Linked DNA regions of Elephas maximus indicus. The protein of the gene in region 1 binds, or shares a complex with, the protein of each later gene. Links are inferred from orthologs where the notes say so. Each region holds a gene or a part of one and is shown on either strand. Other genes may lie near its edges.

Evidence for each region.
Region 2: the proteins of STAP1 (region 1) and LAT2 are in contact, whole or in part, in a crystal structure (PDB 3MAZ), measured with the Homo sapiens proteins. The link is inferred for Elephas maximus indicus from reciprocal best matches to the Homo sapiens genes STAP1 and LAT2. Residues at the interface, in NP_001304698.1 of Homo sapiens: Arg184, Arg203, Pro204, Gly205, Ser206, Ser212, Ile215, Gln217, Ile219, Lys225, His226, Tyr227, Lys228, Glu239, Leu240, Glu241, Tyr255, Phe256, Glu259, Thr260, Arg261, Asn263, Leu264; in NP_054865.2 of Homo sapiens: Asn134, Ser135, Tyr136, Glu137, Asn138, Val139, Leu140, Ile141, Lys143.

What each region holds. Positions count from the first base shown.
Region 1 is NC_064823.1:91,985,769-91,993,543, reverse strand, and holds the start of STAP1 (signal-transducing adaptor protein 1), read left to right. Parts: upstream 1-4,753; 5' UTR 4,754-4,801; coding exon 4,802-4,921; intron 4,922-7,775. UniProt on the Homo sapiens protein: In BCR signaling, appears to function as a docking protein acting downstream of TEC and participates in a positive feedback loop by increasing the activity of TEC.
Region 2 is NC_064830.1:109,527,410-109,535,126, reverse strand, and holds the start of LAT2 (linker for activation of T-cells family member 2), read left to right. Parts: upstream 1-4,645; 5' UTR 4,646-4,796; intron 4,797-7,717. UniProt on the Homo sapiens protein: Involved in FCER1 (high affinity immunoglobulin epsilon receptor)-mediated signaling in mast cells.

The sequences.
Region 1 (7,775 bases):
GAGCCACCCTGTACCAACTAAAAATTGATGCCCCGTGTCCTATCAACACCCATGAAACTAGTGACCAGTTACCAGTACTTCTGATAACACTGTTACAGAAAAATTTAATGCCTATAGACCTGCTTACCTGTAGAAAAGCAAACATAAAAAGAGCGAATTCTGCCTCTTTTCTGCCTTTCCCATCATGTTGAATGTGTCTCGACTCTACCTGCAAAGAAGTCTGAAAAATGTAGTTTTTAGCTTTTCAGTCTTTGCAGTGAAGGATGGCACATTAGAAGGGGTTGGAATGCATGTTAAGCAACAATCCACCTTATCCCCTAAAGTAGCACTGAAGGACCTTAAATGAAAAGTACGGGAAGAATGTAGACTTAACCCCATATACATTGAGTTTGAAGTGATTAATATTGAATCTATTACCTCTCTACACCCCCCCCACTATACCCTTATTCTGAGTTTATAGTTTCTATTAATGCTACCATTATTTTGTGATGTATCAAGGTTTAAAACCAGTGTCCTGCATCTAATAGGCATTTAAGAAACATCTCTCATTAACATAAATGATACCCTACACTACAAAAATATTGTGAACATATAAATAGGAAAAACTCTTACTATTCTAGAACCAACTCTTTGCGCTGAAAATTAGAAGGAAATTAGCAAATTAAGGCACTCTGACAAGACTACTACTATCACTTCTGTAACAGTGATTCTCCATCATTTTTTTCTGTCCCAAAAGACCTAAGGGCAACATTTTCTGGGTAATAATTGATCACGAAAATGATAATGATTGTGAGCTGAAGGGGATAGGAAACCCCATATTGGGTGTCAAAGAATCTCTGGGCTTGTGGTATTACCCCATGGAAAACGTTGCTTTATTCTGTCACTAACAGCAATAAAGAGATGGACTCATAATAAAGACTGTATCTGATTTATTGGTGAGCTATAAGTATTCAACATAATGGTTAAAATTAAAGGTGCATCCTTCAGTTATGGACTGTAAACATAAATATATTCATTACAAGCATCTTTGAAATTTGCTGCCATGAATTAAAATGCATGTGACAATAAATTTTCAATAAACATTAAGTTAAACAGAGGTTGGAAATTTAGGAAGGGAGGATATTTGGAGAATCTCATTCAGGCCTGTTGATTGAATCAACTCCAATAAGCGGATAGTAAAGTAATTTAATAGGGTCTTAACTATTGTAAAAAGGTGCATCCATTGACATGAATAACATTATAACATAGATGACGCAAAGGAGTACTGAAAAGCAGGAAAGTGGCTTAGCCAGATTGCATTAAATGAATTAGAGAAGGAAAAGAGTAGAAACTAGGAGAAACTTAGAAGGTTATGGCAGCTCTTCAGGCAAAAAGTCATTTAGTCCATCCCCTCATTTCTTAGATAAGGAAGCTGTGATCCTAAAGTGGTGGTTGTTTTGTTTTTTTAGTTTTTCTTTTTGGGTCTCAGAGCTGGTTAATAGCAAAACTGGCCTCTCTCTTCATGCCCATACATCTTTTCTACTATATTTCTTTACTTACAAATTCATTAGGACCACCTAAGACTTCGTGGCACAGTGGTTAAGCATTTGGCTACTAACCAAAAGGTTGGCAGTTTGAATCCACCAGGTGTAACTTGGAAACCCTGTGGGGTAGTTTTATCGACTCAAACAGCAATGGGGTTTTAGTTTTTGATTTTTGTTTTTGTTTTTTAAGACTTCAGGTATCTATAAAAGTATTTCTATTATGATGGTACAATACTACAATGGCATTGGTAATTGCAGACAGATATAATTAGCTAATAACGTTTCCGCAGGAATTTTGCATTTTGCAGGTTTTTTTTTAGGGAAACGTAATTTAATCTTTGGTACATTAAGGATTATTATGACTTGTAAATGAGCAAGCCAAAGCAAATTACAGGGGCTGATAAACTGATTTTCCTTTAATTTGCTTATTTAAAAAAAAAATCAAGAAAGACATAATAAACCAGATTGTTATTTCACAGAAATATTTATTTCTTTACATTTTTCTAGAGGCAGTCTTGTCTCTCATGAAGCTATCTGGCTATAAAGCCAGTGACTACTTGTCTCATATTACAACCATTGATTATTCATAGCATCCTATTTCCCACCTCCCTTTCTCTTGTCCTTTCTCACTTTGCATCCCCTCTTTCACTTCCTCCCTGTATTATATCAGCTACCAGCTGCTAAGAAAGTGGATTAGGTTATTTACCAAATCAGGAGTTCTTTTTTTTTCATTCAGCTCACTTCCTTTGTACACTAAGACTAAAAATAGGTATGATTTTGTCTCAAATACTTTGGTTGGACTAACACTTTATCATTTGAAGGTTTGGGTAGCAGGAAGCATGTCTAAGCTTAATGTAAAGGCAAGGTAGTAACTTTAAATCTAAGTCTTACTTGATTTCTAGTGTAGATTTTTCTTCTAAATTGATCTGTAAACCAGTATACACTAGAAACTGTATTTCTCCCTAGACAGTTTGCTTAATTTGAAAATGCATGCTAATCTCAGCCCTAGACTCTTCCAACATATTTAGGTGAAGGCAATGGCAATTGTTCTTGGCCTCTTCTAGTTTATTTCTTTGTTGTTCTCCTGTCTAGTTTCCTGAACTACCGAGCCTCAACTTCAACCCCCTATTCCTATTTCAAACTGTCTTTACATTAATGGAGCACTGGGGCACAGTAGTAAAGAACTTGGCTGCTAACCAAAAGGTGGGCAGTTTGAATCTACCAGCAGCCCCCTTAGAAACCCTATGGGACAGATCCTCCGTCCTATAGGGTCTCTATGAATCGGAATTGACTTGACGGCAATGGACGGATTTTTACATTGATAATGCACCTGAACATTCTTCTCTAGTTTTACTGATATTCAGTGTGTATTGATCTACCTTCACTTTGTCGACAATTTGGTTCCCACATCTACAGCGGCAATCTCAGTGGGATCCATACTGGTTGGGCAAACTATGTGGTCTCTTTCCATTAGGAAAGGAAGATCAGACTGGAGATTTCTGGCTTGCTTTGATTTCTGAGAATAGGCTGGTTTAACTGGGGAGAACGTGCAGGCCTACTACTACTCTAAGGTCAGAGTAGTTCTGAACTAAAACCTAAAACACAACCCATTGTCTTCAAGTTGATTCCGATTCCTTGTGACCCTCTAGAACAGAGTAGAACTGGCCCATAGGGTTTCTAGGGCTGTATATCTTTACAGAAGCAGACTGTCACATTTCTTCTGCAGAGCGACTGGTGGGTTCAAATCGCCAACCTTTCAGTTAGCAGCTGAGTGGTTAACCATAAAGTAGTGGTGGAACTTCTCACCCCTGTGAGACAAAATAGAATTCTTTCCTTTGTTCTCTTCTCCCATCAGTCCCTGCTCTGTGCTAGGACCAAATCCAGCCTCTGAAGGACTATTTCTTATATGCAATTATTGAGTGCATTTTGGATCCATACATCTCACTATATCACTGTGAGGACCCCACCCGTGCAACATAATATCAGAGCTCTGCAGCTCAGAAAGGGTTAAAGAACATTTAATGCCTATGAAGCAGCAGTCAGGAAATCAAATGATGCATTGCATTGGGCAAATCTGCCGCAAAAAAACTTCTTTAAGGGGCTAAAAACTCAAGATGTCACTTTAAGTTGCACCGGACCCAAGCCATGGCGTTTTCAATCGCTTCATATGCATGTGAAAGCTAGACAATGAGTAAGGAAGATGGAAGAAGAAGTGACGCCTTTGAATTATGTTGCTGGTGAAGAATATTGAATATGCCATGGACTGCCAGAAGAATGAACAAATCTGTCTTGGAAGAAGTACAGCCAGAATGCTCCTTATAGCAAGGATAGCAAGACTTCATCTCACGTACTTTGGACATGCTATTGGGAAGGGCCAGTCCCTGGAGAGGGACATCATGCTTAGTAAAGTAGAAGGTCATCAAAAAAGAGGAAGGTCCTCAATGAGATGGACTGACACAGTGGCTGCAACAATGGGCTCAAGCATAGCAATGATTGTTAGCATGCCACAGGACGGAGCAGTGTTTTGTTCTATTGCGCATAGGGTTGCTATGAGTTGTAACGGACTTGAAGGCACCTAACAACATTAGAGTTACCATGGGTTTTGTTTTTTTTTTTTTAACGACAACATTGCTTTCTCTTTTGGACCATTGCCAAATATCCACTGTTAACCCGTATACTCTAAATGCCTACTGACAAAAATTGAAAAATCCTAAAGCTCTCATAACTGTGTTTTACATTTAGTGGACCATCAAAATGGCATGGGATAAGCTGAACCTTTTACTAATTGACTGGTTTATTTAAGCAAAGCTTGGTCCTGATATATTTAACCAACAGAAATAGTGCTAATAAGATTATCCGGTGAAGTAATTTTTAATGAAGTGGGAATAAAAGTGGATAGCAAGAAACAAACAAAAAACAGGTGGAAAAAAATACAACACAACCTTCTTGTCTCCCCTAACATCTACATGCTTTACAGCTGTCTGTTCCTTTCATCTTGGGGTGATGTTAATCTTCTGTTTATTTTGCTACCATAAATCCAAGTACAGGTATTTCACTCAGACATAGCCCTCTAAAAGCTGGTCTATGCCTGTTCTTTCTCATCTCAAAAATAAGGGAAAGAAAGTGTGTGTGTTTGTGTCCAGTTGGTGGTGTTAGTGGTTAAAAAGCAAGCTGGGACTTCCTCTTTGAACAGTTGTCTTTTCCCCTTAGACGAGGGAGAACTTATTTAGTTTGAGACTGAATACTGTTGAAACCAAGCCACGTACCGAAGAGAGGGTATGATGGCTAAGAAGCCCCCTAAACCAGCCCCTCGCAGGATCTTCCAGGAAAGGTTGAAGATTACTGCTCTTCCCCTGTACTTTGAAGGTTTTTTATTAGTCAAGAGGCTAGAATACCAGGTAAGGATATAGATAATAATGTTAAACCAGAAGCTTCTGTCTTAATACAAAATGTATTTCATGGTGATGCAATGGGATAAGGGTCCCTGTGTTTCTGTCGGGTTAAAACTTTCTTCTCTTCCTTGAGGTCAGGAAATATTTTTCCAATTTTGCATACTTCAAATATATAGTATATGGCATATATATATATATGTATATATATAACAAGATTTTTTATATTAGTAACATATCATTAAGTTACTAATATAATATTAGTAATATGTATATGTATAACATAAATTTTTATATTAGTAACATATACCATTAAGTTACTAATATAAAATAATTCAATAATCTAAATTTCCAAAGAATTCATTTAGAAATCACAGAAGATTTTGGCTTAAGAGATAATATGTTTCTTAAATTGTCTCTGCAATTTACTACTGTGTTTCCATGACCATGTGTACTATTAAGATAATATTATGATTGAAATTAAGCTTTCTGCTCATATTCTCAGTTGTTTATAAATAATAATATGTATTTATAAAAGTTTATCAATAATAATTAAATACAAAGTGTCAAATTTTATAAAAAATTATAAAAATGATAAAATTGATACTTCTTAACACTATGATAGGGATGGCAGTGGACTGGCAGTGTTTTGTTCTGTTGTGCACAGGATTACCAAAAGTTGGGGAGCAACTCAATGGCAGCTATTGTTATGAAACGCTGTTCAGGATAGTTAATTTGCAAGATAATATTTAGGGTGCTATCTTGGTTAGCGGTGAGTTGGAATCGACTCATGGCAATGGGTTTTTTGGTTTGTCTTGGTTAGTATGTACACAGTAAGCCATATTAATCTATTCGCTCTAAGAAAATTCACTAAGCGTGCCATATTTTAAAACTGTCAACAATGAAAACCTATAGTTAAATAAAATCAGTTCTTTAAAAATAGCAATTGTGGCTAATTTTGCAATTAGTGAAAGAAATACACGTTATTGTTATTAAAGAAAAAATAAATGATTTTTTTTAGGTTAAATTTTATGACATTTTAATATTAATGGAACTAGAAATTTTAAGTGTTTTCAGAAATGCTACATAAAGTGCTTAACAACAACACTAATAAAATATATTTTCTGAGGATTTATTAAGTATATAGAAAAATTGTGTGTGTAGAAATATCTGTAATAGCACATTCATACTTCTTATATCTACATTAGATAATTTACTATTTGAGAGTAAAGGCATGGTAATTTTTATTCAGTTTTGGGTGTTAAACATGTACTAGTAATTTTTGTCAGTTACTACTTTGGACACATAATTAGGGAAGAACATTCCCTAGAAAAGGATACTATGTTTGGTAAAGTAGAAAACAAGCGAAACTCTCCATGAAATGGGTTGGCACAGTGGCTGGAACAATGGGCTAAACATATCAATGATTGTGAAGATGGTGCAGGACTAGGCAATGTTTTATTCCGCTTAAGTTCACCATGAGTCAGAGCCAACTGAACAACAATTAATAATAAAATTGAAATATTTTTGGTTGACCACTCAACTTATTCTTATATGCTTTTAAAGTAAATTCAATCTCGTCATCACAAATTAGCCACACTGGCACACCATGCCAGGAAAGAGAAAAATTTTCATTTGATTATTCTTTGGATGTTTTCCAAAGTATTTAAAATAACTGTTTCAGACACCAGTTTCCTTCTAATGTTTAAAGAATGCATGTCATTGGCATGGGTAGCAGGAAGAACAAGAATTTTAGAATGTCAATAAAACATTCCCTTCCTACTGGTTTGCCACTTTAGTTTGTGATCTTGTGCAAGTTACAATCTCCCTGAGACTGAATTTCCTCAGTTATAAAATGGGGGCGAATACTACTCGTCTCCCAAAGTACAATGCCTGGGATGCAGTGGGTGTGCAACCAATTTATTTATTCAAACAATGTTTATTGAGTGTCTCCTCTGCACTCAAGCATGACACTCGTTCTAGAGATACAAACATGAATAAGACCTAAAGACCTTACCTTTAGGAGTCTTACAGTTTAGTAGGGGTGATGGAACAATTGATATGCTTTAGCTTTCCGTAGAAACCATGCTTTGAAATGCAAAGAATAAACTATAAAAAAAAAATAGATGTAAATATTTCTGATGAAATTAACATTTGAATTCATAGCAAAGGATCTTTTCTTGAATGGGTAGGGAGAAGAAATCAAGAAGACAAAAATAATGTCTACTTATAGGTGGTTTCAAGGGTTAAAAGTGATAACATGTAAAACACCTGGCTCACACTAAAGGTTAGGTTCGTCCTCTTCCCATTTCATTGTTTATCATATACTTATTAACATAATCAGTTTTGGGTCCACAAGTATAATGGCTCAGAGGAGAGCCACAGTGATAATTAGCCAATTAGAAAATAGAAGATATGAGGAAAAGTTTAGAAAAATAAGTGGGATTTCCAAGGAAGCAGTGCCAAGTGCCAGGGAACCTTTGAAAGAAAAGTGAACCCAGGGTATATGGTAACGTCGTCTTTGAAGCTAATGGGCTGCAAGAAGATGAGAAGCTCTGCAGAATGTTAAGTGGGGTGTCTGGTAGACATTTAATTAGAGAAAATATAACTGATGAGTAACCTGGTCTACAAAAGGACAATTACACATTGAGAGGTGTTTTTGTGACAAGAGTACGGCTAAGAATCTAAAGAGCTGTGCTTCAGGAAAATGTACCTACATAGACCATTTAGCATGCAATTCCAGAACATCTCTGGATCCTAGGTCAAGAACCCACGCAAAGTATATCATCTTCATTGAAGAGATAATGTGAGAAGAGTGACTTAAACCACAGCAGTAGAATTTTGGATTGACCAGGAAAATTTA
Region 2 (7,717 bases), on another chromosome or scaffold:
AGTGTTCCAATGAAACATGTGAGGACCTGGAGTTGGAAAACCAAAAGGGAAGAACACACTTGGCATTTCTTAAGCTTAAAGAACTGAAGAAAAAAATCAAGCCTCAAGTTGCAATATTGCAGGATTCTATAGGGAAGATATGGAATAATGCAGGAAGTATCAAAAGAAGATGAAAGGAATACAAAGTCCCCGTACCAAAAGATTTGGCCGACGTTCAGCCGTGTCAGGAGGTAGCATACGATCAAGACCCCATGGTGCTAAAAGAAGAAGTCCAAGCTGCACTGAAGGCATTGGTGAAAAACAAGGCTCCAAGAACTGACGGAATACCTGTTGCCATGTTTCAGCAAACAGATGCAGCGCTGGAGATGCTCACTCGTCTTTGTCAAGAAATTTGGAAGTCTCCTGGTCAACCGACTGGAAGAGATCCATATTTGTGCCCATTCCAAAGAAAGGTGATCCAACAGAATGTGGAAATTATCAAACAGTATCATTAATATCACATGCAAGTAAAATTTTGGTGAAGATCATTCAAAAGCAGTTGCAGCTGACAGAGAACCGCCAGAAATTCAGGCCGGATTCAGAAGAGGGCATGGAACCAAGGATCTCATTGCTGATATCAGATGGATCCTGGCTGAAAGCAGAGAATACCAGAAAGATGTTTACCTGTGTTTTATTGACTATGCAAAGGCGTTCAACTGTGTGGATTGTAACAAATCCTGGGGAATTCCAGAACACTTAGTTGTGCTCATGAGGAAACTGTACATAGATCAAGAGGCAGTCATTCAAGCAGAACAATGAGATTCTGTGTGGTTTAAAGTCAGGAAAGGTGTGCATCAGGGTTGTATCCTTTCACTATACTTATTCAATCTGTATGGTAAGCAAATAATACCAAGAAGCTAGACTATATGAAGAAGAACTCCGCATCAGGTTTGGAGGAAGACTCATTAACAACCTGTGATATGCAGATGACACAACCTTGCTTGCAGAAAGTGAAGAGGACTTGAAGCACTTACTGATGAAGATCAAAGACCACAGCCTTCAGTATGGATTGCACCTCAACATAAAACAAAAATCCTCACAACTGGACCAATAAGCAACATCATGATGAATGGAGAAAAGACTGAAGAGGTCAAGGATTTCATTTTACTTGTATCAACAGTCAACACCCATGGAAGCAGCAGTCAAGAAATCAGACGATGTATTGCCTTGAGCAAATCTGCTGCAAAAGACCTCTTTAAAGTGTTGAAAAGCAAGGATGTCACTTCAAGGACTGAGGGTGCCTGACTCAAGCCATGGTGTTTTCGATCACCTCATATGCATGCGAAAGCTGGACAATGAATAAGGACGACCAAAGAAGAATTGATGCTTTTGGATTATGTTATTGGCGAAGGATATTGAATGGACTGCCAGAAGAACGAACAGATCTGTGTTGGAAGAAGTACAGCCAGAATGCTTCTTAGAAACAAGGATGGTGAGACTGTCTCACATATTTTGGACGTGTTATCAGGAGGGACCAGTCCCTGGAGAAGGACATCATGCTTGGTAAAGTGGAGGGTCAGTGAAAAAGAGGAAAACCCTCAACAAGATGGACTGACACAGTGGCTACAACAGTGGGCTCAAGCATAACAACGATTGTGAGAATAACTCAGGACGGGGAGGTGTTTTGTTCTATTGTGCATAGGGTCACTATGAGTCAGAACTAACAACAGCACCTAACAACAATAGTATTCAAAATATTATGTTAGTGCAACCTTGAAGGGGAAATTTGCATTGTTGCCATCTGTTCAATAAGTTGGATTTATCAAAATTTTGGAGCATGCTACAAAGGTCCAGTTTGTCAAATTATGGACAACTGGTTGTTAAAAAATTAAGACTGTGGTTGTCTTAGTCATCTAGTGCTGCTCTAATAGAAATACCACAAGTGGGTGGCTTTAACAAAGAAATTAATTTTCTCACAGTCTAGTAGGATAGAAGTCCAAATTCAGGGTGTCAGCTCCAGGGGAAGGCTTTCTTTCTCTGTCAACTCTGGAGGAAGGTCCTTCTTATTAATCTCCTCCTGGAATAGGAGCCTCTTCATGCAGGAACTTCAGCTCTGCTCCCAGCACTGCTTTCTTGGTGGTATGAGGCCCCCACTCTCTGCTTGCTTCCATTTCCTTTTGTCTCTCGTAAGATAAAAAGTGGTGCAGGCCACATCCTAGAAAAACTGCCTTTACGTTGGATCAGGGATGTGACCTGAGCAAGGGTGTTACATCCCACCCTAGTAATCTTTAACATAATCTTATCTTGCCTCAATAACCACAGGCAGAGATTTGGATTTACAACACATAACAAAAACAACAACAACAAAAAAAACCCATTGCCTTCGAGTCAATTCTGACTCATAGCGACCCTATAGGACAGAGTAGAACTGCCCCATAGGGTTTCCAAAGAGTGCCTGGTGGATTCGAACTGCTGACCTTTTGGTTAGCAGCTGTAGCACTTAACCACTACATCACCAGGGTTTCCTTATAACGCATAGGAAAATTATATCAACCACCAAATGGAGGACAACCACACAATACTAGGAATTGTGGCCTAACAACGTTGACACGTATTTTGGGAGGATACAGTTCAGCCCATGGAATTTGGACATCTAGAACTTCGGTGTTGTCAGGGGTTTTCCAGTTGTCAGCCTTCCATTCTAATAACTAATGGTTGGAACGTGTATGCCTTCTGTGTACAGGGGCATTTGTTTAGCTCTAAGCATCCATTCTCACTTTTGCAATTAGTGTGTCATCATGGTATGAGAGTCTGATTTCACAGTATCGGCTTTCAAAGCTGATGCCCCAGTGTGTCACGTCCATTGTCAAGTCTTACGTTAATTTTAGGCTTGATGGGATGGTCTGTTACAGCAGAGCTCCGGTTACTACCTTCAGTGTTACAAATGGTAGATGTTTAAAGTGTTCCACATTTCCTTTAATGCAGTCTGTAAGAGGTTACCTCGGGTCTCAATTTATAACTTAATCATTCGGCTTTTAGTTTGTTCCTGTTTAACAGCCTTTCTTAGGATGTCCATGGCATGGCCTGTTAGAGACTGTGCTCACTGACGCCGTCACTGACTGAGGAGCCTCCATGTGTCAGAGCTTCCAGAGCAGAAGAGTTAAAGTTCTGTCACAGCTCCTAAAACGCACCGCTTTTACAGTCAGGTCATTAATTTCTAATGGTGTTAACGAGGTCCTTGTCAGGCCTTCTATGAGACTACCTAAAAACTGTAGGATTTTCTTAGTTTAAGGAACTCCTAATAGGCATAGCATCAAGACAGAATGCTCAGAGCTAGTAGGTGCTCATCTGTTTGCCAAGAAGGAATAACAGAGAAAGAAAAAGTACTGTCGTACATGTTTTCAGTTTATTGTTGTAGGGTTGACCTAAAGGGCGAATTCTTATTTTGTCTGGGTATGTGCAGCCCTGACAGCAAATAGCTGTCTAAACAGGTTACAGGCTGCCTCGCTGAGGGGTTCCACTGGCAGTGGGATTCCATGAGCCCATTGGCCACGTCTGTGTGTGGCTCGTTCAGCCGTGTAAATGATTCCTGCAGGGAAGCCAGGTGTACATTGTGGAAGGTCTGAACAGAGACCTTACGTGGGACCAAACGCTGCTTGGGCTTCAGAGGTATGCAAAGGACCAACAGAATCTATTAGAATAATTTGAAGGCTTGTCAGGCTTTATCTTGTCAGTATGTTCCTTAGGGCGTCTCCGTGCTGCAAGGTCCTACGAGGTATTCAGCGTAACTATGTGTTGGAAAGTGTGTTGTGGCGTAGGTAGATTTCATTTGAGTGCCCAGTTTTTGGTTATCGTTACGGTTTGATGGTTTTAGATGTGCTTTTTTTTGCTGTTTAATTGTCCATGTGGCCCAATACTTAGTGTCATTTTGGTGGGTGCACTGAACTTAGCTACCGCAGTGTTGTACTGTGTTTCTACGATATAAATTTTAATTGTAGGGTTTGTAATGTGTTGCCAAATGTCTTTTCCCCAAACTTCTTGGTTGCCAATTTTCCAGTCATTTTGTTGCCAAGTGTCAGGACCGTATGTCCAAGTCTGGTTCTCTGGGGCTGTTGCCCTCTGAGTCTCTCTGTCTCTGTGTGTGTTTCTGACAGTCTCTGATCTCTGTCTCTGCCTTTCTCTGTGTCTCTTGGTCAATCTCAGCTGGGCTCTGTCTCTCTGCCTGTCTCTGTGTATGTCCATGCATGTGTCTGTCTGTGTGTGTGTCTCTCCCTGCCTGTATCTCTGTGTGTGTCTCTCTCTGGTTCTCTTCCTCTGTGGGTGTCTCTGTGTTTATGTGTTTTTTAGTGTGTGTGCCTCTCCATGTCTTTCTCTCTTTCTCTGCTGTGTTTGTGTGTTTTTCTGTCTCCCTCTCTCTGTCTCTGTCTCTCTCTCTCCCTCCGCCTCTCTCTCTCTTTTGCTGTCCCACTCTCTGCCTCTCTCTCTGTCCCTCTCTTTCTGTCTCTGTCTCTCTGTCCCTCTCTCTCTCTGCCTGTCTCCCCCTCCTCTCTCTGTCCCTCTCTCTCTCTTTCTCTGCGCCCTCTCTGTCTCTTTCTGTCCCTCTCTCTGTGTCTCTCTCTCTCTCTCTCTCTGTTCCTCTCTCTGTTAATAGCAGAGCCTGTCCGGCAGAGCAGCGGATGTGTGAGGGATGATTCAGTGGCTGACAGGAAGCCCGTCACCCCCCCTGCTGCCCGTCAGTGTCTCTGGCATTGGCGTCAGCTCAGGCAGGTGTCTGGGCTCAGGATGGGGTGGCCGCAGTGAGAAGCCCTGACTCTCAGGTAAGCTTTTCCCAGGAGTGTCTGGAGCTGTTCCCCGCTCATCCCACGGGGGAGGGGGTGGCCCTGCTGGCCTAGCAGGAGTACTTGGTGGTCCTGTTGGGTGGGGTGGAATGATGCCAGGATGCCCCTGGCTATGAGGCCCTCACCCCAGACCCTGTGGCGCTCAGAGGGGCAACCTTTTCTGAGGCTCCAGCCCCCTTCCTGCCCTGACACAGCCCAGGGAAGCCCCCAGGTTGGTTCCCATCACTGCCAGACCTCTGAGGGGCAGCTAAAAAACCAGAACGGTGGCTCCAAGCAGGCCCAGGCCCAGGCCCATGAGCCTCAGTTTTTTCATCTGTAAAATGGATACTAACATCTCTGCCCCAGGGCTGCGGGAGGATCGGTGAGAGTCTCCAGGCAGTCATGCCTGGTCCTGGCCCTGCCACCCCACTGCCCCGACACACACACACCTAGCCCCTATCCCGCCTGCCAGCTCTCTGTTGGGGCACCATGGGGATGCCCGCTGTAAGGCTGGGAGGCTCCCTGTGTCTGGCTCTGTTGGAGGGTGGGTCAGGCTCCCAGCCACCCGGCTTTCACCATTGCCCCCACCGCCCCCAGGGACAAGGGCTGCCCAGACCTCTCTACCACCCACCCTCCTGCCTTCTCCTTGCCACCTGGGGGTTCTGAGCCCCACTAATAGGGCCTCTCAGCCAGCCTCATTTGAAGCCCAGAGTTATTTGGAAAAAAACGGAACAGGCCCAGAGCAGAGCCTGGTAGCTAAAGCTTTCTGAGGAGATCAGGCCAGTTGCCACCTCTCACTCCAACCCCTGCTGGCTCTGCAAGTCCCTTGTCCTCACTGGGCTTCAGTTTCCCCATCTACAGCGTAGAGAGGACTGGGATATTGAACAGGATGGTCCCCAGGAGCCCTTCCGGGTGGGAGGCTCGGATGCTGGCAGCGAGCCCCAGCCAAGCCCCTGACCGTTCCCGCCGCTGCTAGCTGCAGGCCTTGTTCATATGAAAACTGCCCACTTCCCTTTGTGCTATTTTGGCCGCAGAGCCCCAGAGCTGCGGTGGCCCCCTCCCTGCCCCGCCCCGCCCTGGCCCCTTGGGGCCCACCTGGGGCTGGGCCCTGCCTCTCCTGGGGAGCCCACCGCCTCTCCCCCCTGTTCCACCCGCCCACCTACTCTGAGAACCCCTTGTAAGAGAGGGACTCAGTCCGGGGGCGGGCATATGAGTGTTCCCTAAATTAGCCTCTCTTTTGAAAAATATTTTAGGGTTTTTAAAAATTTTAATATGAAAAATGGGCAAGGAGCGTGGGGTCTGGATCAGCCCTGGATCAGTCCTGGCTCTGCAGCACAGCTGTGGCCCTCCTCTCTCAGAGTCTTGGGAAAGGGGGCTGGCTGGGGGTCACAAAGGCCAGGGATTGAGGGGTCCCATGTGTTCTGGCCTGCTTTCGTTAGCTCCCAGCCCATCCTAGGCCCAGCTGCTTGGCCCCTGTGGGTTGGTCGAGGGGACAGGTCGGGCCTGTGTGTGTCTGTGGTACGGTCCAGTCAGCAGGTTCCGGGCTGGGCTGCTCCACGTTTGCTGCGGGCACCCAGGGCCTGGTTCCCACAGGCCACCAGCTTCCCACCCCCCTTCTGTGGGGGCTGAGGAAGCACATGAGGCAGCCGCAGTAGTACCGCAGTGGCCAGCTCTGACCTGGCCTGGCTGCCCTTCACATGGCTCCTCTCCTTGCTGGGCCTCAGGACAGACTATCCTGATGAGTGTCCATCTTTTCCCAACTGCTGAAGGCCAGCCATGCTGGGATTCAACAGCTGAGACCAGGTCCACCCTCAGGCTCCCTCCCCTCACCCAGCGCCAGAGGCGGAAGGGCCTTAGGGTGTACCCAAGTGCCCTGGCCTCAGACGAGATTGTGGGGTGACAAGGACCTTCCTTCCTCCTTATGGGGAGGCCACCCATCACATGGCCAGGAAATCTTGCTCTTCCCACTGACTCATTTGGCTTTGGGGGGTGAGAGAGGCGGGTGCGCCTGAGGGCCCCGACCGTAGCTCAGCGCTCTGTCCTGACGGCCCTGACTGTGGCTCAGTGCTCTGTCCTGAGGGCCCCGACTGTGGCTCAGTGCTGTGTCCTGAGGTCCCCCAACCATGGCTTAGCGCTGTGTCCTGAGGGCCCCGACCGTGGCTCAGTGCTCTGTCCTGAGGGCCCCGACTGTGGCTCAGCTTTGTGTCCTGACGGCCCCGACCATGGCTCAGCGCTGTGTCCTGAGGGCCCTGACAGTGGCTCAGCGCTCTGTCCTGATGGCCCGACCGTGGCTCAGCGCTCTGTCCTGAGGGCCCCGACTGTGGCTCAGTGCTCTGTCCTGAGGGCCCCGACCGTGGCTCAGTGCTCTGTCCTGACGGCCCCGACTGTGGCTCAGTGCTGTGTCCTGAGGTCCCCCAACCGTGGCTCAGCGCTGTGTCCTGAGGGCCCAAACCGTGGCTCAGCGCTCTGTCCTGACGGCCCGACCATGGCTCAGCACTCTGTCCTGAGGGCCCCAACCGTGGCTCAGTGCTCTGTCCTGAGGGCCCCGACCGTGGCTCAGTGCTCTGTCCTGAGGGCCCCGACCGTGGCTCAGCGCTCTGTCCTGACGGCCCCGACCGTGGCTCAGCGCTGTGTCCTGAGGGCCCCGACCGTGGCTCAGCGCTGTGTCCTGAGGGCCCCGACCGTGGCTCAGCGCTCTGTCCTGAGGGCCCCGACCGTGGCTCAGCGCTCTGTCCTGACGGCCCGACTGTGGCTCAGCGCTGTGTCCTGAGGGCCCCGACCGTGGCTCAGCGCTGTGTCCTGAGGGCCCCGACCGTGGCTCAGCGCTCTGTCCTGAGGGCCCCGACCGTGGCTCAGCGCTCTGTCCTGACGGCCCGACTGTGGCTCAGCGCTCTGTCCTGAGGGCCCCGACTGTGGCTCAG